3 linked regions of the Diceros bicornis minor genome follow. The main gene of each other region encodes a partner of the protein of the gene in region 3 in a complex. Links are inferred from orthologs where the notes say so. Each region holds a gene or a part of one and is shown on either strand. Other genes may lie near its edges.

Region 1 (7,646 bases), about 21 Mb from region 3:
TATCCTGTCTGTCCACAAGTCCAGTGTAGCTCCTCCCCTCTGAAGCTCCCACACTTGTCAGTTGGTTGTGAATTCTCCTATACCTTTCTCTCTATATATACATCCATGTCTAGGTCAGGCAGCATAGGGCAATGGTTAAGGGTCTGGAATCTGGAGCTGACATTCCTGAGTTCACATCTTGCCTCTGTCACATACAAACTGTGAAAGTGGAAAAGTTGTCTAACCTCTTTGAGCCTCAAGTTCCTCAATCTATAAAATGGAAATGATAACATTTCCTACCTCATAGGGTAATTATTAGGAAGAAATGAGTTAATACATGTAAAGTACTTCAAACAGTGCCTGGCATATGCTAAGTGTCAGAGAAGTGCTAGCTGTTATTACTTGTACACACCCATGGCTCAAATGGAGCATCGTTTCGCATATTTTTAAAAAACAATGGTCTCATAGTGAATTTATATCAATTAGTAATTTGTTTTTTAACTCAAAAATGTGTCTCAAAGACACCCCGCTGTCAGTCCAGATCTATCGAACTCTTTTTGAACTGATGCTTAGTATTCCATTCTAAGGCAGTTTATTGAAATAGTCCCCTACTTATGGACATTTAGGTGGTTTCCAATTTCTCACAACCACAATGGGACAGGCTACTAATTGATTTCCCTATTTCCACTCTCGTTCCCTTCCTTCTGTTTTCAGCACAGCAGCCAAAATTATCCCATTAAAATCAGAGAGTAAATCAATGCTCAAAACCCTCCCAGGACTCCCACTTAATTCAGAGTCAAGGTCGAAGTCTTTACAATGGCCCAGTTGGTCTGCCTCCTGCCCCAGAATATCTCTGGGCTCATCTCCTGATAACTCTCTTCCTTGTCCATTTGATCCAGCCACCCTGACTTCCTAGCTATTTCTAAAACATGTCTGCTATGCTCCTACCTTTGCACTTGCTGTTCCCTCTGCCTGCGACACTCTTCCTTCAGATATCTGCATGGCTCACTCCTTCACCTTCTTCAGGTCTTTGCCCAAATGTCCCTGAACTACCGTAATGAAAATTTCGAATTCCTTTCACATAGTTAAGGCCCGAACGGTGATAGCTGCAATTGTGGGAAGAGTGGACCGGGTGTGGCTGTGCTTCCTTCCAGCTCTGAAATTCCGCTTTAGTGATTTCAGACCTCACGTCTCCCATTCATGAAGAATGGGAACTTGAGACTCTGCCTAGAATGTAATAGAGCCAGAAGGAATGACATGAGAGGAATCCCTTGGACCAGGCTTACCTCTTGTTAGTTTGGAAGGACTTGAGAAGTCCTTGCGCACAGTCCTGGCCTCCTGGCACTGCCTCACTCACTCACTGAGCACCTTCTGCCTAGTAGGTCCCGGACACAGCCTGGCTCCGATGCCCCTTCCCTCCTAATATAAATGGAGCTACCCCCACCCCACCCGGGCCTAGCTACTCCACGGCCCTGCACGTGCCTGGTGGTCTCCAGTCATGTCTCTGCTGAAAGTGGGCCCTCCCTTTGTCTCTGTCCAGCTCCAGCCTTCCTCCTCTTATTTCCATCCACACTTCAGGGGCTGGAGAGCAAATGGCTTTGCATTTATCACCTCCTAATACACTACATCATTTATTTATTTACCTTGTTTAGTGTCTGTCTTCTCCACTAGAATGTCAGCTCCCTGAGAACCGAGATTTTGTATGTCTTACCACTGCTGTATCTCCACACTTAGCACAGTGACTAACACACAATAGGCGGTCAGTAAGCGCTGCAGTGACTGTGACTCAGTGCCTCTGCATGAAAATGGATGACTATGTCTCTTGGAGCTAAACCTAGAAACAGAAGTCCTAGGTCGCAGGGCACACATGTTTGACATTTTAATACATGTTGCCAACTTGCCCTCTAAAGTGGTCAAATTCATCCATCCTCCTACCTGTTGAGTTACCTTGTGAATCCTTGATACCATCAAACTTTTTTTTTTTTATAATTTTATTTATTTATTATTCCCCCAAAGCCCCAGTAGCTAGTTGTATGTCATAGCTGCACATCCTTCTAGTTGCTGTATGTGGGACGCGGCCTCAGCATGGCCAGAGAAGCGGTGCGTCGGTGCGCACCTGGGATCCAAACCCAGGCCGCCAGCAGCGGAGCGCGCACACTTAACCGCTAAGCCATGGGGCCGGCCCTCCGTCAAACTTTTAATTTTGGTCAATCTGATGGGTGAAAAATGGTACCTCCTTGTTTAAATTTCCCTTATTAGTAGTGAGACCAAACATTTTTTCATGTGTTTGACGGCCAGTTTTCTTTCTAAGAATTGCTTATTTTTCCCATTTTTTTCTATTGAATTTTTATCCTTTTCTCCCTGATTCATAGGAGATTTTTGTTTGTTAAAATTCTGGGTTCTAATCCTTTGTTATATGTGTTAGAAATAGTTCGGCCCTCAGGCTTGTTTTTCTTTTGTCAAACAGAATATTAAAATTTTGGCTTGATCAGTCTTTTCCTTTATGTCTTAGCCTTCTCCTTATGTCTTACTTAAAAATTTCCTACCCCAGCATCATATACATACTCTTTTAAAATTAAAAAATTTTTAATTTTAAAAAATATCTTTATGGTTTTTATCCAAAATTTGTTTTTGTAAATGGTGTGGGATAAAAATCTAACATAATATTTTCCCCAAATGAAAAGCAAATGTCCCAACTCCATTATCTGTTTGTCTCCATCTGATTTGAAATTCTACTCAGCATTTACTAAACTCTGATATACATGGGTCGGTTTCTGCACTCTTAAACTCTTCTACTGATTTTCTTGTTGTTTTAAAAAAATTTCTATGGCAATACCCTACTTAAGAAAAAAAACTTTGTGGAAAATTTCAAGTGCATGTAAGAAGTGCATATATGTATGTGTATATGTATCATGACTCTGTCACTCAGCTTCAACAATTATCAATTTGTGGCTACTCTTGTTTCATCTATATTCCCACCTACTTCCCTCCCCTGCATACTCCTGATTATTTTGAAGCAAATTCTAGAGTCATTTCATCCCTACCATTTCTATATGTATCTCTAAAACATAAATAGTTTTAAACAAACAAAAAAACCCTTGCAGTTTATATTTTGAAGAAACTAGATCTTTTGTCCTGTAGAGTCTTCCTGTCTGGATTTTGCTGATTGTATCCCCATGGAGTCAATTAACCATACTTTAAAAATTACTATAATTTCATAATGTTAATGTTTATGAGATCTGGTATGGAAATTACCCCCTATTATTTTTCAAAATTCAGACGCCACTTCTTGTGTTTTTCCTCTTCCAAATGAATTTTATAATCAACTTGGTAAGTTCCATGACAAAACCTATTGAGGTTTTCATTGGAATTGCCTTGAACTTTTAATATAGAGAATTAACATCTTTACAACATTGGTTGTCCCCATCCATTAACAGCCAGCCCTGGTGGTCTAGTGGTTAAGATTCAGTGCTCTCACCACAGCAGCTAGGGTTTGTTTCCCTGTCAGGAAACCACATGCCCATCTGTCAGTTGTCATACTGTGTTGGTTACGTGTTGCTGTGATGCTGAAAGCTATGACACTGGTATTTCAAACGCCAGCAGGGTCACCCATAGGTGGACCGGTTTCAGCAGAGCTTCCAGACTATGAAGAAGGACCTGGCCACCCACTTATAAATTGGCCAGGAAAACCCCATGAATAGCAGCAGAGCATTGTCTGATACAGCACCAGAAGGTGAGAGGATGGCGCAAAAAGACGGGCAGGGTCCCACTCTGCTGTATACAAGGTCATTAGGGAGTCGGAGGGGACTCAACGGCGCTAACAACAATTCATTAATGAGGTTTATAACCTCATTCAATTATTTTTATAGTTATTCAATGAAGTTTTACAGTTTTTAATTTTCCCATAAAGGTCTTAGGCTTATTTTGTTTTTTAACTTTGTAGTTTTTGTTGTTACTATGAACCACAATCTTTTTGTTCTCATTGCCGCTGTTATTTTGTAATTGATTATGATCATGTATAGGACCAGACATTCTTAATTCAAACCACATCTCCTCTACTTACTACGTGATTTTAGACAAGCTTACTCAACTTCTCCGAGGCTTTGTCTTCTCTTATGAGGATGGTAAACCCAGGGAGGAAGTACCCAGCAAACCGCGTTTTTAAGCCAGTAACATCAGGGCGTGGACGGGATAAAGGTTTGACAGACTCCTTCACGTTTGGTAGAGAAGCTGGGGGCGAATCTATGTTGCACACAGGGGACTCCATGTTAAAGCGAAGTGAGTTCCTATGCACATTTAAGGCACGATGCACAACTACATAGAGAATAATAAAAAACAAAATAAATGATTTTCTTCCAGGAAAGTCTTAGGGAGGCCCAGGATGCACGCCGTTCTGTTATCTAAAGCGATTCCCCATCTCTTCAGTTAGTACCATCTTTCCCAATTAGTGTGGAGCCGAGCATTCTGGGCTTTGTAGTAATTTCTTTACTAGAATTGTTCCAATGGGCTCACGCAATGCATGAGACTACATTTCCCAGGAGCCTCCCTGGCCGGTTGTTTGCTTGTACCTCACACTGACTTCCGGCGTCGGTGCGCTCTCTAGGGCCAATCGGGAGGCTGGGATTGCCCATTTCCGGCACCCTGATTGGTGCATTCGACTAGAGCGCCTGGTTTCAAATTTTCAACGGTACTGAATGAATCCCGCGGCGGGTCTTGCGGGCGTTCAGTTGTCAGAGCTGAGGTGAGGTGAGCCGTGGGGAGAAACTGGGAGCAGCTGGGGCGCGGGCTGTCTGTCTCTAATTTTTGAACGGCTAGAGGTCGCCTCCAAGCCCCTAGCGCGGTTCGCGCCTCTAGGCCTGGGCTTCTCTGGAGGTTGGGACGCCGTCCTGGCGGGGCGGAGGGGGAGCCGGGCTTTGGGCCACTGTTCTCTCCGTGACAGGATTTTCCCCTGAATTCTTTCGGGAACGGGTCTAGCGGGCTGCGTCTGGAGGTAGAGGCAGAGGCCGGCCGTGGGAAATAGGGGGAAGAAGGAGTTGCGGGAGGCTGTAGGCTGATAACAACCGTGACGACAGTTATTACCACGCACGCGTGAACTGAGCACTCTGCGTGCGTTTTCTCATTTAATTTTCGCACCAAGCCAATGAAGGAGGTGCTATTCCTAGGCCTCTTTATGGAAGAGGAAACCGAAGCCCGCAGTCCGGATACATTGCGAGAAATGGGTGAAACGGTAGCCCCGCCCTCAAGAAGTGCGGCGTTTGTGGGGGGAAAACAGATGCAGTCACAAACAACTACATTTTAGAACTACTGTGTAAGAGAGGTAAATGAGGTGGAGTGAGAACGTAATTGAGGGAGAGTAGTTCCGCTTGGAGTTGTCTTTCTATTTGGGGTTTTAAATTCATTCTGTTTTATCCGTGTCTACTCAGCCGTTCCCTTTTGTATGGAATCACTAGGTATTATTGCCTAATTTCCTATCCTAGAACATTTATAGATTGGAGGGGAAGGAAAAGTGTAAATCAGGTTATAATATTGTAGGATTGTTTTACTCCCCCTATTTTCCTGATATACGTTTTTTTTTCCTTCCGTGCAGTTTTCTAGTACAGTAAGTTAAGTACCAAGGACTTCCCCCAGATTAGTCCTGCTCAGGACAAGACAGCATCTGAGTGTTCTACTGATTTTCTTTAAGATCATCGCTTGGTGTACTTCCAGGTTCAGCCTTGTCTTGACATCTTGGTTTTTCTTCGAATTTGTCTCATCTGATGTCAAAAATCGAACTGTTTGCTGCTATAATAAAGATATTCTTGTGTTGTAGCCTCAGTGGATCACACCCCTTGTTAAGCCACCCCTAAATCGAACTTGAGTGCCCTTGGTTGCTTTGGAGGAGTACTGTTGGGTGTGTCAGTTCAGTATGGTCACTCTTGGGATCAAAATTATCGTGGCCCCCGGCTTACTTTGCTAATTAATTGACCTTTGAGGGTGTAGTGTGAGCTGAGATTGGTGTTAGATACTGTGGGTATACAGGTGTATGATGTACTCAAGGGTTTTCTGGTATGCTTGAGGACAAAAGACTGATTGAAATCGACAAGTGACAATCAGAACAAGACATGACAGCATCTGAGTGCTCTACTGTTTTGTAAGTGCCCTGGCAGTTCAGAGGTGAGGGAGATCAATGAGGCTTAAAATGGGCAAGGGTGGCTTTGTGAAGCAGGTGGGACACATATTGGCTCTTGATAAGCAGAGTTTGGTGAGAAAGGGACTAGAACAGTCCTGGTGCACAGAAATCACCCACTAAATATCTGTTGAATTGGATAGGCGGGAGGCATTATCTAAATTGACTATGAAATTGCAGGTATGGAAAACGATTTCTTCAACTAGATTGGTAAATTTGTTTAAACTTTAAAATTATTTAAATAAAATAGGGTTGTTTTGGCCAGGCTTATACTTAAGTCTGTGTATTCCAACTTTAATAAAGTTTATTTACCCTACAGTTGCAATTAAGCTTCTCCAGGAGACAGGATTATGTGGGAAGGTCCTTCATTTCTTGTTTGGGTACCAGGAGAGGTTCAGAGTTCTTCTATATCCCCTATATATTTTTTTCTTCAGCATTTCCTGGGTCTCTTTTTTTCACTTTGTGAAAAAAGTATAGATAACTGGAAGGGGTTCTGTTTTTGTTTGTTTGCATAGAGAAACTTGATTAAGGGGATTAAGATTAGTGAGGAAGCTATAAAATTGTATGTGGGAGCTTACTTCAGAAATTTTTTTTTAATGCAATTTCTACTTTTTTAAATTAAAAAAAGATAGTAAAAGTTTTTTTCATATTTTAAGTGTGCCTACTATTTGTCCTGATGTTTGAATAGGATAGAAGTGCACACTACCACCGTTGGTGTCAGTCTTTCTAAATTTGCAGGTTTTGAAAAGGTTACTTTAAAGTGGAATTATGTAATATCAAAGACACCAGGAGACAGCAAATGTACACTAAGAACATTTTTACACTGATGAAACAACAATCTGTTAAGAAGTTTGGCATTTAGGGGGAGCCACACTATTTAGACCTTAGCTCTCAGAAGCATTCTTTGGTTTTGAGGGTGGGTATCCTTGGTCTTCTCTAGCCCCTTCCTGTTCTCTGTTAACCTTTTTAATTACAGAGAACTTGAACCTGTTTCATCACCTTTCTGCTTCTTCCAGTTTCTTGATAAGAAGCACTCACTAGACTTCAAGATTTCAGAAGAGCGGTGACAGAGTATATTGTAACTTTGAGTCAAGCCTGTAGTGAGGTGGACTGGCAGACCGATTAAACTAGAGGTAAGGCTGTGTCCACAGTAAATTACATTAAAAAGGAATAAGGAAACATTAATATTAATCTATCAGCTTCAAAAGTGTTTAAATAACTTTAACATCTTTATAAAGTAACACATATTTTTGGAAGAAATTTATTTAATATGGAAAAGCAAAAAAATAGTATTACCCACTATCCCACCTCTCAGACAAACTATGGGTAATATTCTGATAGATTTCTTTCCAATTTTTTTCTGTGCCTGTATTTATTTTAAAAATCATACACTAAAAACCTTTTTTTTCATTTAATAGATTATGAACATTTTTTTCATGTCATTAAAATTTTCTACAACATAATTTTATGGTCTTAAGGTATTCTATTATATGGTTCTACC
Region 2 (7,615 bases), on a different chromosome or scaffold from region 3:
AACCCAGACCTCAGAGCTGAGGCAGCCACCAAGCGTCTATCCTGTACAGCCACCAAGTGTCCCCAACATGCTCCCCAAAGAAGCTGAAAAGGCAGATTCAGAGAAGAGCTTGGAGAAAGAGAGAGGAAAGGGTACTTGTGGGGCGCAAGGGGGGCAAGGGATGAGGGGGCCAGGGAGGGGCCTGGGGGGTGCAGTGGGGGCTCTGAGGGGGAGGCACTGGAGGGATGGCTGCAGGGGCTGCTCCACACATCATCGCCTCCCGGGGGGCACAAAGACTGGAACCTGGGCACTGGCTGGCTCACCCCCACCTGACCTCGGGCATGCCTACCGGATGTCGAAGGCCCGCACGGCAGGGCTGGCGCTGGCCACGTGGATGGTGAGGAGCTGCACCGGCAAGTTGGAGTCCGGCGAGAGCTCGTGCTGCTGCGACTGCGTCACTGTCAGATGCACGTCCTGCTGCTGGGCCACATACACGCAGTACGTGGTCACCTTCATCACCCACGTGTCCGTCACGATCACACGGGCTCCCGGTGCCCCCGTGGCAAACTTGTCGATCCGCCGGAACTCGGTGTTGACAGAGGAAGCAACGGCCCGCCAGTCCGACTGCGGAAGGGCGTAGAGGGCCAGGGTACGGGCCAGTGGGTGGCGGGCCCACCGGTCCCGGGACCAGTAATAGATCAGGGAGCAGGTGACAGTCAGCAGGGTGACCACCAGCAGGAGGAAGAGCTGCCAGGCCTCTGGGGCCCGGCTCGGGGAGTAGAGCTGCTTTTCTGAGGCTGCGAAGCACATGCCTACGTAGTAGCCTGCAAGCAACAGAGTGAGTCTCAGCAAAGGTCGGGACTGCCAGGCCACTGTCCTCCCCCAGTGAGGGCCACAGTGCTGTCCCTGTACCTCCTAGGGAAGTTCCTCTCGTCCCCAACCCTGGGCCTGGCCCTCTGCCCTGGTCAGCTCCCAGGGCGAGACCAGGGTACCCAGAGCAGGTGGACCTCACCTGCCTCCACACTGGCCCAAATCAGCCTTGACCCGGACAGTGACCCCATAAAAAAGGGAAAAACGTTTTTAATTTGCTACTTTAATTTTACACAACATAAGAATACTGAAAAAAACTAGAAAAACAACAAATGCAATGATCTGGTGTCACCAGATGCACAGCTGCCCTCCACAGAGTGGGATCTTGGCCTCTTGACCCCACCCCTCTGAGTGTGACCCATCCCAGGGCTGGGACATCGTGTGCCAAACGATGGGGGCTGTCAGCAAGAACACAGGAGCCAGCTCCGGGCCCCTGCTGGCCAGATTGAGGCCACTTTGCACTCAAAATGAATAACGCAGATAGTGATGGGGTGCAGTGGCAGCTATGAAATCACAAAAATAATGACATAAGTTTGCTATTGCCGAAATCACTACATTTTAAGATAATTTATCATGTAGCGACAAATATGATTCAAAGTTTCCCAAAAAAGGCATTTCAAAAGAAGTTGGAAAACAAAACAAGACCCTGTGTCCAGCCACAAGGCCAGGCTCCACCTCCTCCTCTGGGTGTGGCCTCCTGGAGTCACTCTGCTCCCTAAGTCCTGATGTCCCTGCCCGTCCTCGGATGGTGGCCCAGCCCCCCACGGGCTCCAGGAAGCTGGAGGGCTCCTGAGCTTCCAGGGCAGAAGCCAACCCGCCACCCTCAGGGGAGCCCAGGCCCCAGGCCGCATGCTCCTCACCTGGGCACGGGGCTAATGGGCTGCCCTGCTCACAGGGAGCTGGGTGCTCTGTGGAGGCGGCCAGGCAGTTACCGCAACACCACGCAGAGCAACCACCCGGCCCATAAGACATGGGCCACCAGCTCACCACGCCAGCTCCCTCCCCATCCCGGCGTGGGCTCCACTCGGCGCGCCGTCCACGCAGGCAGGCAGCCCCCATGCACCGGCCGGCCTCAGCCCAGGCCCCTCCTGCCGCTCCCCATACTGGCCAGGCTGCTGCGCGCCTGCCAGGTGGACACTCCTCCGTGTCCACAGAGCTGCAGGCAGGGCCACCGCCCCTGCCCTCCCAGACCTGCTTCCGCCTGCGTGTTCTCCGGACCCCCGCCTGCTCCCCCACTCTCCAGCCAGTCCCCCGTCCACCCAGCTGACACTCCGACCCCCAGAGCCCAGCTAGGCCCCAAGTCACTGCCCAGCACGACCCCTGGGCAACTTCGGAGCGGGCCGGCCACACACATGCCTTCCCCGGCCTCCGCACCTGTAACAACCCCGCCTGGCGTCGCTACCTCTGCCTGCCCTTCCCACGCCCACCGTCCAAGGCCTGGGGCAGGGCCACCTTGTCCCCCAGACCCCCGCCCTCAGACCCTTCTCCGGGGCACTGCCCCCCACCCCATGTGACCGCTCGCGCCTGCCCCAGCGGGCGAGCATCCCCCCGGGGTCCGAGCCTGCTCTTCTGCTCCCTGCGAGCGGCCGGGCGGGCGGACGCAGCCTCGCTCTCGGGGCTGGCCGCTTCTCCCCGAGCGCCCTCCCCGACTCTCCGAGACAGGTGACCCTGCGGCCCGGCAGCCTCTGGAGCCCGCAGCGCGGCCGCCTCCGCCCCCCGAGCGGGCCCCGCCGGCGCACCGAGCGGCAGCAGCGAGTGGCACAGCAGCGTGGCAGCCGTGCGGCGCAGGTGGTAGGGCACGAAGGCGGCGTCCTCGCTGCCCAGCCAGCCCGACAGCAGGTTCTGCACCGTGAGCCCGGCCGAGTGGAACTCGGTGGGCGTGAACACGAAGCACACGGCGAAGACCAGGTAGGCCAGCGTGAACGTGACCTCCGGGCTGTCCATCGCGCCGCCGCCGGGAACCGTCGGCGAGACCCGCCGCCCCCGGCGCGGGGAACAGGCCCGAGCTTCCCGGTCCGGTGGGCGCGGGGCACCCTGGGAGAGGGGGCCCACGGAGCCGTTTGGTAGATAGAGTCCTCGCCTGCGGGGCACTCTGGAAAATCGGAGTTCCCGTGGAGCACTCTGGGAAACGACGTCTTCGCCCGCGGGGCACTCTGGGAAATGGGATTTCCCGTGGAGCACGCTGGGAGACGAGGTCTTCGCCCGCGGGGCACTCTGGGAATGGGAGTTCCCCCGCCCGCGGAGCACTCTGGGAGATGGAGTCCCACCGTCAAGCCGGCGCAGTACGCTGTGAGAGATCGAGCCCCGTGGGGCACTACGGAACATGGAGTTCCCGCTTCCCGCACATGACCCGAAGTCGTGAGCTGCCGCGACAATCCTCGCGAAGGTTCGGCTCCTCCTCACGACCCGGCCTGGGGGCGGCGCTACACCTGGTCCTATTTTACAGCTGGGCATACTGAAGCCCGGGCGAGCGGCTCTCAGGCTCCGGCCTTTCCGCCCAGTCTACCGTCCGTAGCAGAGCACGAGATCCCCAAGCGACAGCAGGCCCCGCAGTCATCGTCTGCCTGCGAGCACCCCTGACCCTCCACTCGTCGGCAACGCGCGGCTCCCGAGGACTTCCGGCGCGCACTGCGCCCAGCGTGCTCCCCGCCCCGGAAGCGGTACCGCCGGCGCGCGGGGGCGTGGCCTTAGGCGCGGCCTCCCATTGGCCGGCGGCGTCCCGTGCGTCGCGCCCCAGCCGCGCGTTGATTGGCCGCGCGCGCCAACCGTCGGGATTTGAATCGGCGGCGGGCGGGCGGGCTCCTGGACTCGGCGCCTCTCGCTCTCTCGGCTCCGCACCGCGGCCGGCAGGTAAGGCGGCGGCGGCGGCGGCGGCGGCGGCGGCGGGCGGGTCCCGGCCCGGGGCTCCATCCCAGCCTCCTCCGCACCCTCCGGCCCGGCCCCGGCCTCTGTCCGCCGCGGAGCTGCCGACACCCGCCCTCCCGGCGGCGGGTCCACCCTCGGCGTGTCCCCGCGGCGCCCCTGCCCTCCCGCCGCCTCTTCAAGGACGCTTTCTCGCCGGTCCCTCTCAGCGGGCCCATCCCGCCGGCCCGCCGTAGCCCGGAGCGGAGCCGGGTGACCTCTGCCCCGCCGTCCGAGACGCCCGGCGGGCTCCTGCCTTCTTGGCTCTTCCGCCTCCCCTCTGTCGCCCTCCGCGAGGGTCATCCTCCAGGAGGTCCGTGTGTCGGGGTCCCTCAGGGCCTGGCCCGCGGCCACCCCTCACCTCGGTGACCCTGTCCAGCCTCACATACCACCCGTAGCTGTGGTTTGCAAATGCACGTCTCCAGCACCGAACGCGCGCCCGGCTCGCTGCCCGCCCCCCTGCCCGGGTGTCGGAGACGGGACTCCGGACCCCTAGCCCTTCCGGCTCTGCGCGGCCACGCCCCCCTCCAACGGGGCAGCTTCTGCTGCTTCCTCCAGCCCCAGCTGTGAGCCGTCACCCACTGCCGCGCCCCTGCGCCGCAGACCTGGGCGCGAGCCCTCCCCGCCCGCTGCTGCCCTACCGCAGTCCGCGCACGCAGGGCGGCCTCTGCTCCGGAGCCCCCGCCCGTGGTCCCGTGGTCAGTAGAAGCCAAACCGACTGAGACCGCCATCACTGTTTTCCCACCTTCCCCAGGCCAGGGACGGCCAGAAAGCTGTCCTCGAGGCCCCCTTCCGTGTTTCACCCAGTTGTTCAGGCGGAAGACCTAGCTGTCACCTTGGACTCCTGAGTCTTTCCCGCTTCCACACACCGAAGGGGGGCCCGCTGGCCAAGCCAGGGCTGACCCAGCCCAGGCCTGCTGCAGGAGCCTCTGACGCCACTTCCCGGCCTCCTCTCACACCCTCCAAGGTGCCGACCTCACACCCCTCCAGGCCCCCTTTGCACCTTTCTGCCTCAGACACCTCAGCCTTGTTCGAGCTGCAGCCCCCAGGGCCCCCACCACCAGCAGGTACCCATGGTGCGGCCTTGCGCAGGTCCATACCCAGTTCTCTGATGACTCTTAGATTGGGAATGTCATGTTGGCGACCATGATGAGAACTGTAGGAAGGAATGGGGCTGTTCCAGAACCTTCTGGGCCTGACTGGAGGCTCCTGGTGTATTTCCAGACTCCAGGCCCCGATGTAGAAGCTCCCCACTTAGTTCTGCACCTCACTGCGTATTTCCTTTGCCAGCTCCTCCTCTGGGCCTTGGCGGTCCTGCTGCCCTCACCTTGTCTCTATTTCCCAGCCACGTGGGGAAGAGTGAGCCACCGCACCTTTCCGCTTTTCTTTTCTTTGCCAGCGTGGCCACCTGCTCCAGCTCTGACACAGCCTTGGCGCCTCGAGTGGAGGCCTGTGGGAGACCTAGGCTTCCTCTGCCTCTTCTGGTGTTCTCCAAGGCCACCTTTTACTTGTCTCTTGACTTTTACCCATGAAGTTCGAGTTGTTGGGAGCACCTGGGTTTTCCTCTTTGCCCCAAAGGCTGAAGGCCCTTCTAGCCCTTAGGCCTGGGAGGTGGTGGCTCCCCTGCAGCAGGACAGGGAGCACCTGGCAGAGGACACACTGCCTGAGGTGTGACCAGCTGCGCAGGAAGGGGCCATCCTCCCGGCCGAGCTGCAGAGTCAGCTCCATCTTTTTCACGTTGGTGCATCCAGGCGCCGCAGTGTCGCTGCCTTCATGCTGACACACGCTGTTTGCTTTTTCAGAATGAGTCTGCAGATCTTCAATGACGAAAATGTCACTGGTGACAAAAGTACAGAGAACTGCAACTTCCTGTTTTCACCACCAGAACTTACCGGAAGATCATCTGTTCTTCGTCTGTCACAGAAGGAAAATGTGCCACCCAAAAGCATAGCCAAAGCCGTGAAGGTGAGCGCGTTGTGCCTATGTGAGATCACCGTGTGTCATGTTAGGTCACCTTGGAACCTGCTTTCCTGGTGACTTAAATGAGCTGCCAGGGCAGGGTGCTCCTCGCATAGTGGTTGAAGACGAACTTGGTGAACAGGTGCTGTCTCCCTCCCAACAGGTGACTTTTCAGACACCTCTGCGGGATCCACAGACGCACAGAGTTCTAAGTCCTGTTGTGAGCAGCAAACCGGAGGCTTGCTTTGCTCTGGGTGACGCCGGAGGGTTAAGAAACCTTCCTCAAGTCTGGACGCAGAAAGAGAAGTAAGTGTGGGTGCTGCTTGTGTACTGCAGTTTGTAGCATCTCTCGTAGACTCGGCAGGAAAATTCTGCTCATCTGGTTGAGTTTCTCTTGGTCTCGCTCTGAGCTTGTGTGGTGCATGGTCCAGAGTATTTGGCATCGGAAGTCGTTACTGGAAAAGTGGATAATGGAACACTTATAATAAGTTTAAATTTCATATTCCATTCCTTCGTTGTACCCTTGCCAACAAGTTGGCCTCATTTTTTGTTTCTCTAGCTTCACGAAATGTCCTGCTCACATCTCTAAGGAAGGGCACTTTGTGGTTTTATGTCTCTTTTTGTGTTCCACTGGGGTCTCTCTTCTGCTTGCAAGTTGAGCTGTGTTCTTTTAAAGGCAGAGGAGATGTCTGTTGTGTAATCTGGTCAGAGTGCGAGTGGCCTCAGGGACCAGGTTTTAAACACCTGGCTTTAACTGGGAGAAGCTTCTTTGCAGCCTCACCTGGAGTTAGGTGTTTGGCTTGGTCTACTAAGTGAGTGCCACGGCCTTTCCTGCCTCTGTCTGGAAAGGAGAACCCTAGTGGCAGCTCTTCACCCCCAGATTAGGCTGAACTAACCCAACTGAGGCCCCCAGGGACCCTCTGCATCCAGAGTGGGAAGGGTCCTCACTGGCACATTTTCATTTTGACTTTTGCTGACTTAAGCTGTTTAAAACTTGCATTTTCTTCTAAACAGGTTTCAGATGTACAGAGCAAGGTATAAAAGCAAAGTATCGCTAACATATCCTTCACCTAACTTAAGTAAAATGTTCTTGGGGCCACGGTTCTGTTTCCTCGTGGAAGCTCCTCGAGCCTGAATCTGTTCCCCTCCCCAGGTGTCCTTGCTACTTGTCAGCTTCAGTTTTATACTTTTTGAAATTCAGCTGAGTGAGATTAGAGGGACTTAAATACTGTTCCTTTATAACAGCCTCAGGAAGGGAGGGAAACCCGGCCTCTTGGCCGCAGGATCTGACCTGCTTCGAGGGCCAGGGTGGTTCCTGCCTCTGCCCTGTTTCTGCAGAGCCACAGAGCAGAAGTCAGGGAGCAGGCCAGGAGGACCCAGGGAGGGTGGCCCTAGGAGCTGGGACCCTGCTTTCTGAAGGCAGTGTTCTCGACCTGCCTTTCTCTCTTCAGTGAAGGGCTTGACCCTCGTGTGCCTGACTGTCCCTGACTATGTAGCTGGTGGTCCCCAACCAAAAGGGGAAAGTAGGGTAGCACAGAAAACCTTAACTTTGGTCATGTATCTGTCAGGTTTCTGCTCACTCTCAGAAACCCGTGTGTCCCTAGGTTGCTCACCAGCATTGATTTATGGGACTATACTTGTGACAGTTAATCCTGAGGAGATGGTTGACTAAACATTCTTTTTTTCTGTTTTTAGCTAATGTTTTCATGTGGGCTAAAATGTAAAAAACAAAATGGGTTGCTTAGTATTAACTAAGTCTGTTTCTAAAAAGCCAACAGTTCACCAAGGAAGTGGACACCAAAACGACCGATGGAATTCTCCAGAAACCAGCAGTGCTGGATGCCAACCCCCCTCCAGGGGACGTGAGACCAGCCTCTGAAGACAGGAGTTCCAGCGGGCCCACCTC
Region 3 (7,988 bases):
CCCTAACCTCTCCTCTGACTGCTAGACTCCGTTATCTAATTACCTGCTCAGGGTCCCCCGGAAAGGTCCACCAGACATCTCAATCCTAACACATTGAAAGGGAACCTCTTCTCTCCACACTTCATTTCCCCTCTGCTCACAGGAGCACCCTGAGCTCAGGGCCAAAGCACTCTTCTTTTCCAGCTACACTCACTCCCTAGGTGAGCTCATCCAGTCTCCTGGTTTTCAATACCATCCACAGGCTGAGGACCTCCAAATTTCCATCTCCAGCTCACACCTCACCCTTAACTCCTACCACCTACACAACATCTCCACCTGGTACTCTGAGAGGCGTCTCAACTTTAACCTGTCCCAACCTGAAGTCCTGCTCCCTCCCACCCACCTCCCCAAACCTGTTCTCACAGAAGTCCCCACCTCAGCTGATGGCAAATCCGTCTTGCCAGCTGCTCAGGTCAAGTCTTGATATAATGTTTTACACGGTTCCCCCTCAAACCCCATATGTAATCTATCAGCATATCTTGTATGCTCTACCTTCAAAAATCACTACTCATGACCTTTACTGCTACCACCTGCTCACACCACAATTCTCTCCCCTCAATTATTTGCAACAGGCTCCCAATGGTCACTCTGCTTCCACTGTTGCCCCATTATGGACCATTCGCAACAGTGTGCCCAGTGATCCCATTAACAGGTCAGATATGTTGGTCCTCATAGTTCCCCAATCCAAATTCAAAATCCTACTTGCACAGACAGGCCTACAAAGTCTCAAAGAATGTGGAACGTGACCACCTTTCTGACCTCATCTCCTCTTATCTGTTGCATACCAGCCATACAGGGCTCCTTTCTTTCCTCAAAGAAGTCCCTGCCACAGGGCCTTTGCACTTCCTGTTCCCGCTATTAGGCTCTTCCCCTAATAGAAGTGTGGCTTACTCCTTCATTTCATTCATGTCTCTGCTCAGACATCCCCTTTCAGACCATCTCTCCTTTATTTTTCATCATACTCCTTAATATCTTACATAACATCACTTGCACTTGTTTACTGTCTCTCTCCCCAGACTCAGACATCCAGCTACCTGCTCAGTATCTCCAAAGCAAGCAAGCTCCACGAGCACAAGGGCTTAGTCCCATTTTGTTCACTGCTGCCTCCCCAGAACATGCCTGGCACGTAGTATGTACACCAATGTTCTGAGAATGAATTAATCCATTAACAAAGCAAATCAATAATAAAAATAGTTTATAACACTTAGTAAGCCCATACGGTGATTCAGGTACAACCACCTATCAAGTAAGTAGAACATAAACTCCAAGAAAGCAGAAACTTCTGTATTTTTCTTACCCAAGTGCTCTCCGAATTCTAGAATCCAATCAGAAAGTGCTCCCCACCCCTACACTTTCACATTCATTTTATAAATAAGCAAATAACTCCACCTTGAAGATGGGACCACAGCTAAAGAGCTGGGAGTCCTTACTTTAAGCAGTGGGTTAGTAGAAATAGACAAAAAGGAAAAAAGGAAACATATGCTTGTGTTATGAAAATGTTCATTTCACATACACTCTAATGCTTTCTTCACTTTCCCTAACAATTACAAGCAGCTCTACTGAAGTCACATAGCCCTAAGGACATTTATTCAACAGTCTTTGACAGAAGCTACAGATAATTTGCTCCAATTTAATATGTTTCCTTCTCAGGGAGATGAATGATGATAAGCAGAAGGGAATAAGATTCTGACCCAGAAATTCTGGCGAGAGCCCCAGGGAGACTGCTTCTCAGATGATTCTGGCCTACAGCCAGGTTCAGGAGCCACATGGCCAGACGACCTTCACAAGATCCCTACCGCTCAAGCCAGAGATCCTACTATTCTAAACAGGAAAATTGTTAGATTTAATAGCACCGTGGGGTTAGACTTTTCCTTCCTTGTCAAACCTACTAATGTCTGCGTATATGAAGGACAGTGGACAGGAAATAAGTATGTTGCTGAAAAGTGTTTAATTCAAAGAACAAGGAAGGTTGAGGAGGGGACATTAAAAGTCAAGGGCAGTAGCTACACCTACAACAGGGGGGCGTTTGTTAGAAATGGAGACTCTCAGGCCCACCCCCAGACCTAACAACTCAGACCCTGCATTCTAACATCCAGTTGACTAGTATGTGCTGGTCTGGGTCTCTAGTTCTCAATGACACATCAGAACCACCTGAGAGCTTGATAAAAAGACAGACACCTGAGTCCTATGCCCGAGCGCTTCCGATTCATTAGGTGGGTCTATATTTTTGACAAGGACTCCCAGGCCATGCCGACGTATAGGTGGTCCAAGGTCTACGGTTTGAGAAGCGCTGGCCCAGGAGGCCTCTTCCAGGTTATTCATTCACCCACTCATCCAGCCAGCCAGGAAAAGGGGACCTTCCTAGCTGTTCTGTCCCAAGTAGCCCCCGGTAAACCACACGACTGTTTTCTTTCGTAAGGCTCACCACTCTCGGATGTTATCTTGCTAGTTCGCAGTCTGTCTCCCCACCCCCACTCAACTGCAAGACAGCAAAAACCTGTGTTTCTTCTTACCCGATGCTCACTGAATACAAGAACCCCATCTGAAAGCACACCCTCCCCCCACCCCCCAACCACCCCAACCACTCCAGAACACATCAAGCAGCATCTTCAGGGCGCCTCAGTACCCAGAAGCAGATGCGAGGGCGCTGGGAAAGCACAGGTAGGGGACGGGGAGGATGAGGGGGATGGGGGAGGATGAGGGGGATGGGGGAGGATGGGGGCACAGGGACCCTGGGGACGGAGGGCGACGGGGGGGGGGCGCTTCTCGCCCCGACCATTCCCTCGCGGACCCCGCGGACCCACTGGCTGCATCCCTCCCACCCAGGCCGGCCACCCGGACCCTCCCGGGCCCGCCCGCCTTGCAGAGCTGCCCCAGGGTCTACCCACCCGTCAGCTCCTGCCTCCGACCTAAGGCCGCCGAGTCCTCCCGAGAACTCAGCCGTTAGAATTCAAAGTCTTCATTTTAAACAGGAGTTAAACCCTCTAATCCGAAAGCTGATTGGCCTGGGCTAGAGAGGCGCTGCCTTTTGATTGGTTCAGAGCCAACTCGACGCTTGAGTCACGTCCAGGGCAGAGACGGCGCGCAGGCGCACTTGCCCCGTAAGGCCCCGGAAGTGGTGGAGCCAACGGCCCGCCAGACCCCTGGCCGTGCTACCGCCCTTGGTGCTCTCCGGAATCCGACATTTGTCTGTGCGACAGCAGCCCCTTGGCGTCAAGGTTGTCGCGTAGAAGATAAATTCAGAGGAGGTGAACAAACCTCTCGAACGCGCTAGTAGGTAAGATGGCGAGAAGAGCAGGGGAGAGTGGTGCCGATCGATAGCGCAGCGTTCGGCGCGTCTTCCTGCGCGCGTGCGCAGTGAACGTGCGCTCGGAGTGATCGATCGGGCAGGAGTCGCGCATCCATTTTTCTGGAGAGAGCGAGAGACCAGGAGAGCTGGATTAGCGGGTACAGGGGGCCCGGGATACGTGGCGGGGGTGGCTGGTGCGGCTGGTGCGGTGGGCTGGGCTTTCAGGAAGGCTAGGGGCGAGGCGGGAAAGGTCGATAGCGAGCGGGGCGGCGTGTGCCGAGTCGCCGGGCTGGGCTTGCACCCGCCTCGTTTTCCTCAAAGGCCTGGTCCCTTCCCTCCCTCCCTCCTTAGTTCGCCCCTGCGCCGGGATGGTAGCGGAGCGGGCGGTGAGGGGGCGCCTGCGCTCTCGCCCTGGTCCCCCTTCCAACTCCTCTAACAGTCCTGGGTCGGGCTCTTCCTGTCCCCGGGCCTCAGAGGTCTCACCTGCAAGTTGGCGCTGGTAACTAGGCTCTAACCAGCCCAGCGAGCGAACGTTCTAGGGGAGTTGAGAAGCGGGGCGTGTCCTCTCTTTTCTTCATCTCTTTGTATACCCCCGTGATGCTCCTGGCGTGAATGAAGAGACAGGCTGGAATAGTGGTTAAGCTCTGGGCTCTGGTGTGGGCAGTCCTGGCGGCCACTTGAACCTTTGGCGACTTAGCCACATTTTACTTTTCACTGGGATTCCTAACCCCTTTGAGCCGGTTTCATAATCTCCATTGTGTCCTCGTATTGTCTACGCAAGCATAGATTTATATACGTTTGCTTTTACATGTACTTAAATACATTTAATGATTTCATTCGGTGAGCTAATGCTTATAAAGTGCTTTGCACGGTGTCTGGCAACTGCTTAATAAATGTTAGCTATTATTAACACCCACCAGTACAGCCCGGTAAGAAGGGCGGCTCTGGGGTCAAGTAGCCTGGATTAGGATTCAGGCTCTGCCGTTTATAAGCTGTTTCATCCTGAGTTGAGTTAACCTCTCTGGACCTCAGGTTGTCTGTCTCTAAAATAGGATTAGATGAGGATTGAATGAGGTAATGCATATTAGCTGCTTACACGGTATATGTTATATACTGTACGGAATGTCTAATAAATTTTAGCTAGTTTTAAGTTTTTGAGGAGCACTGCAGGTAGTGGTTAGGAACGAGACAGTCTTTAGAGTCAAACCTCCTGTGTTCTAGTCCTGGTTCCTCCAGGCGCTAGTTGTGAGACCATGGGCAAGTTATTTCCCCTCCTCATCTGTTAACAAGATTACAGGACCTCCTTTATAAGATGGTGTTGCCGGTTAGGTGAGATAAAACATGATAAACGCTCAGTGAATGTTAGCTGTTCTTAGGATCAGCAGCCTCAGTAATTCTCCAGAGGGAGTTGTGTACTTAGAAAACGTGGTTCCCCACCCCTTTCCTCTAACACCCTCACCTCCCCCGCTTTCAGAATCGCCCCTGTAAAGTACAGCAGTACCAGGAGGTACTGATGTTGGTGTTCACTCCCTCCTCTTCTTTCTCATATTCATCTCTCTCCTGTACTCTGCCTTTCAGTTTTCTTCTCTGCCACAACTTTTATTCTTTATTGCTGTCCCTAGGCTCCTGCAGTCTTCTGATCTGTCCGTATGTACACATACATAAAGACATTAATTTTTGATAATCAGATTTTCTATCCATGTCCACCAATTGCAGTTTTGTTTTGTTTTTTTTTGGCATAAACCAGAAACCATCATCTACAGTTTTCTGTTTCACTTTCTAAGACTGAGGGAGAACTTAGACACTTGTAAATCGATCTAAGAGCACAATCCTTCAGATTTTTGCATTTTTTTCCATTTTTTAAAGCTATCTTGGCCATATCCTACTTGCCAGTATTTTATTAAACAGTTCACTTTTGAATCTTTGAAAGCATTCAGCTTCATTGTTTTCATAGCATAATAGCTGTTTTGTGCTCATGTGAAGCTCGGTTACTTTAAAACATGTTTTAAGAATGAACATAACTGGTATTAGTAAACATAGAGCTCAGCTGGTGTAAACAATACTGTCCAGACATCGACAATAGCAGCTGTCTTACCTATTGCAAACACCAGTCACTGTTTTATTAACAGAAGAAATGGAAGATTCTCGGATAGCAATAAAGAATAAAAATTGCAAGTGAGTAGTTCGGCATAGAAGAAAAGTTGATGAAGAGACATTCTGCTGTAAATATCAGCAAACATGATTTGAATAATTTCTTTCTGCCACTATGCTCAATGCAGCGTCTTGTTTAACCTTCACTAACTTATTTAACAGATGAGGAACTTGATCTTAGAGAAACGAAGTCACTGACCAAAGATGTTGCAGCTGGTAGAGCTGGGATTTAAGCCTACAAGTGGGACCAGATTCCTGTGTTGCTTCTGTGGTTTGCTAGTGCCTCTGCCCTTCACCGGCCACCTGTTTTCTCTTCTTGCAGCTGGCAGGCAAATTGTCTTCCTGTTCCTCAAGATGTACAGAACCAAAGTGGGCTTGAAGGACCGCCAGCAGCTCTACAAGCTGATCATTAGCCAGCTGCTCTATGACGGCTACATCAGCATTGCCAATGGCCTCATCAATGAAATCAAGCCTCAGTCTGTCTGTGCGCCCTCAGAGCAGCTCCTGCATCTCATCAAACTAGGTAGCTTGTGAATGCAAATTCCTTGACCCCATGACAAGGTTTCAGATGTTTTCACACGTCAGAATTTTTCGAAATTATTTCTTTAGTTTTAGCCTTTAGTATGTATCAAGTACAGTGCTAGATATTGAAGGAGTAAGCAAAGTACAGATTATAAAGATTTCGAGCTGGTTCTAGCCTCAGGATCTTTATACGAATTATCTGAAGCATTCTGTCATTGTATTGACTTTCTTCAAGTTTCAGCTCAAATGTCATCTCAGAGTCCTCTTCACTTCTAAAATAACCCGACTATCTTCCACATAACTCTCCAGTTACTCTAAGACAATAATCCCATTTTCTTCATAACAGAATCAGTGTCTGAAATTTTCTTTATTGTTTTGGGTTGTTTTCCACACAGTCCACACCTCCCCAAAAAAAGACTGCAGGCTCAATAAAGATCAGGACCTTGTCTTGTTCAGAAGTATATCCTGGTGCTTACCTGGGTCACAGAAAGCACTCAGTAAAGTATAAAAGTACCGAAGATGTTTATACCCTTTGACTTGGCAATGCTAGTTGTGAGAATTTGTCCTGAGGATATAAAATGAATATAACTGAAATGCCTAACAATGGGGAATTAGTTATGAATGTTCTTATATCCATAAAATTAGATCCAACAACATGATGTAGATGAACATTTATTATGCTGGCCAGATGTTTATTGTGTATGATTAAGTGAAAAAGTAAGTCACAACATGTTATGTAGTGTAATTCTATTTTTCTATTTCTGTTAAGTGAAACAACTGTATGCATGGAGAAAAGTCTAGAAGAATTCATACCGCCATGTTAACAGTAATAATCTCTGGGTGATATAGAATGAGGACATTTTAATTTTTTCTTCTCTATTTTTAATTTTTGTTATACTAATAAACATTGTTTATATATGAAGTTATTTTTAAATTTAAAGTGCATATTCTTGGTAAACTTGAGTTTATTTAGATAACATTCTTTCAAATACATTTCACTGGTGTTAATGCTGACACTATATCTGACTTAATGAGCTTCAGAGCTGCTACTCACAGGTCTCAGCAGTAAAAATATTAAAATCCAGAATGGGAAAAAATGGACAATTTAACTACAGAACTGCTTTTTTTTTTGAGTTTCTGTAGTTGTGGTTAAAGTAGAAAGTTTTGGAGGCAAAAATCAGGGGAGATGACTTGACCTATTGGAGCCTAACCTTCCACAACCCATATTGCCTTACAGTGTGTGTCACTGTGCATGCGCCCAGGTCGTTACACATAATTGTTTACAATATTAAGTGTCCTGCAGCTCCAAGAAATAGTAAGTTCACATTGGCAAACATCTTGCCCAGTGTGGATCCAGAACTTTGTCTTGGCCTTTTAAAATAGCGTTTTTTATGCCCTTCATTTTTCTTCCTTTCAGGAATGGAAAATGATGATACTGCAGTTCAGTATGCAATTGGTCGTTCAGATACAGTTGCCCCTGGCACAGGAATTGACCTGGAATTTGATGCAGATGTCCAGACTATGTCCCCAGAGGCTTCAGAGTACGAGACATGTTATGTCACATCCCATAAAGGACCATGCCGGGTGGCTACCTATAGCAGAGATGGACAGTTAATAGCTACTGGATCTGCTGATGCTTCCATAAAGATACTTGACACAGAAAGAATGTTGGCCAAAAGTGCCATGCCAATAGAGGTAAAAAATCCCAGTTACATACTTCCTGTTTGCCTTTGGTTGTTCATTCTTAGAAGAATGAGAGAATAGTTGAAACCGGCTTTAACTTAGCATGGTTGTAGGTTGTGTGCTTTGAGTCAAACAGATTTTGCACTTTGAGCATCTCTTCTTTTCTTGTTGGCCTAGGTCATGATGAATGAGACTGCACAACAGAATATGGAAAACCACCCAGTGATTCGAACTCTTTATGACCATGTGGATGAAGTCACGTGTCTCGCTTTCCACCCAACAGAACAGATCCTTGCCTCTGGTT

Evidence for each region. The genes of interacting proteins can lie anywhere in the genome.
Region 1: the proteins of AURKA (region 3) and TPX2 are in contact, whole or in part, in a crystal structure (PDB 3HA6), measured with the Homo sapiens proteins. The link is inferred for Diceros bicornis minor from reciprocal best matches to the Homo sapiens genes AURKA and TPX2. Residues at the interface, in NP_001310232.1 of Homo sapiens: Lys125, Arg126, Gln127, Trp128, Asp132, Glu152, Gln154, Ser155, Phe157, Leu159, Lys166, Glu170, Gly173, Glu175, Leu178, Arg179, Val182, Glu183, Ile184, Ser186, His187, Leu188, Arg189, Tyr197, Gly198, Tyr199, His201, Val206, Tyr246, Ser249; in NP_036244.2 of Homo sapiens: Gln3, Lys5, Ser6, Ser7, Tyr8, Ser9, Tyr10, Asp11, Ala12, Pro13, Ser14, Asp15, Phe16, Ile17, Phe19, Ser20, Ile31, Asp32, Trp34, Phe35, Glu36, Lys38, Ala39.
Region 2: the proteins of AURKA (region 3) and TACC3 are in contact, whole or in part, in a crystal structure (PDB 5ODT), measured with the Homo sapiens proteins. The link is inferred for Diceros bicornis minor from reciprocal best matches to the Homo sapiens genes AURKA and TACC3. Residues at the interface, in NP_001310232.1 of Homo sapiens: Leu130, Phe133, Glu134, Ile135, Gly136, Arg137, Tyr148, Leu149, Ala150, Arg151, Ile158, Val163, Arg205, Tyr207; in NP_001428248.1 of Homo sapiens: Glu523, Ser524, Phe525, Arg526, Pro528, Val531, Leu532, Gly533.

Annotation. Positions count from the first base shown.
Region 1 is NC_080758.1:27,754,864-27,762,509, reverse strand, and holds the start of TPX2 (targeting protein for Xklp2), read left to right. Parts: upstream 1-4,646; 5' UTR 4,647-4,725; intron 4,726-5,093; exon of another isoform or gene 5,094-5,296; intron 5,297-7,161; 5' UTR 7,162-7,278; intron 7,279-7,646. UniProt on the Homo sapiens protein: Spindle assembly factor required for normal assembly of mitotic spindles. Required for normal assembly of microtubules during apoptosis. Required for chromatin and/or kinetochore dependent microtubule nucleation.
Region 2 is NC_080747.1:1,102,151-1,109,765, forward strand, and holds the start of TACC3 (transforming acidic coiled-coil-containing protein 3), read left to right. Parts: upstream 1-4,615; 5' UTR 4,616-4,717; intron 4,718-5,552; 5' UTR 5,553-5,553; coding exon 5,554-5,715; intron 5,716-5,872; coding exon 5,873-6,015; intron 6,016-7,480; coding exon 7,481-7,615. Other genes in the region: TMEM129 (E3 ubiquitin-protein ligase TM129), read right to left, coding at 329-803, 2,589-3,303. UniProt on the Homo sapiens protein: Plays a role in the microtubule-dependent coupling of the nucleus and the centrosome. Involved in the processes that regulate centrosome-mediated interkinetic nuclear migration (INM) of neural progenitors.
Region 3 is NC_080758.1:6,939,436-6,947,423, reverse strand, and holds the start of AURKA (aurora kinase A), read right to left. Parts: upstream 3,011-7,988; 5' UTR 2,928-3,010; intron 1-2,927. Other genes in the region: CSTF1 (cleavage stimulation factor subunit 1), read left to right, coding at 5,834-6,002, 7,419-7,696, 7,862-7,988. UniProt on the Homo sapiens protein: Mitotic serine/threonine kinase that contributes to the regulation of cell cycle progression.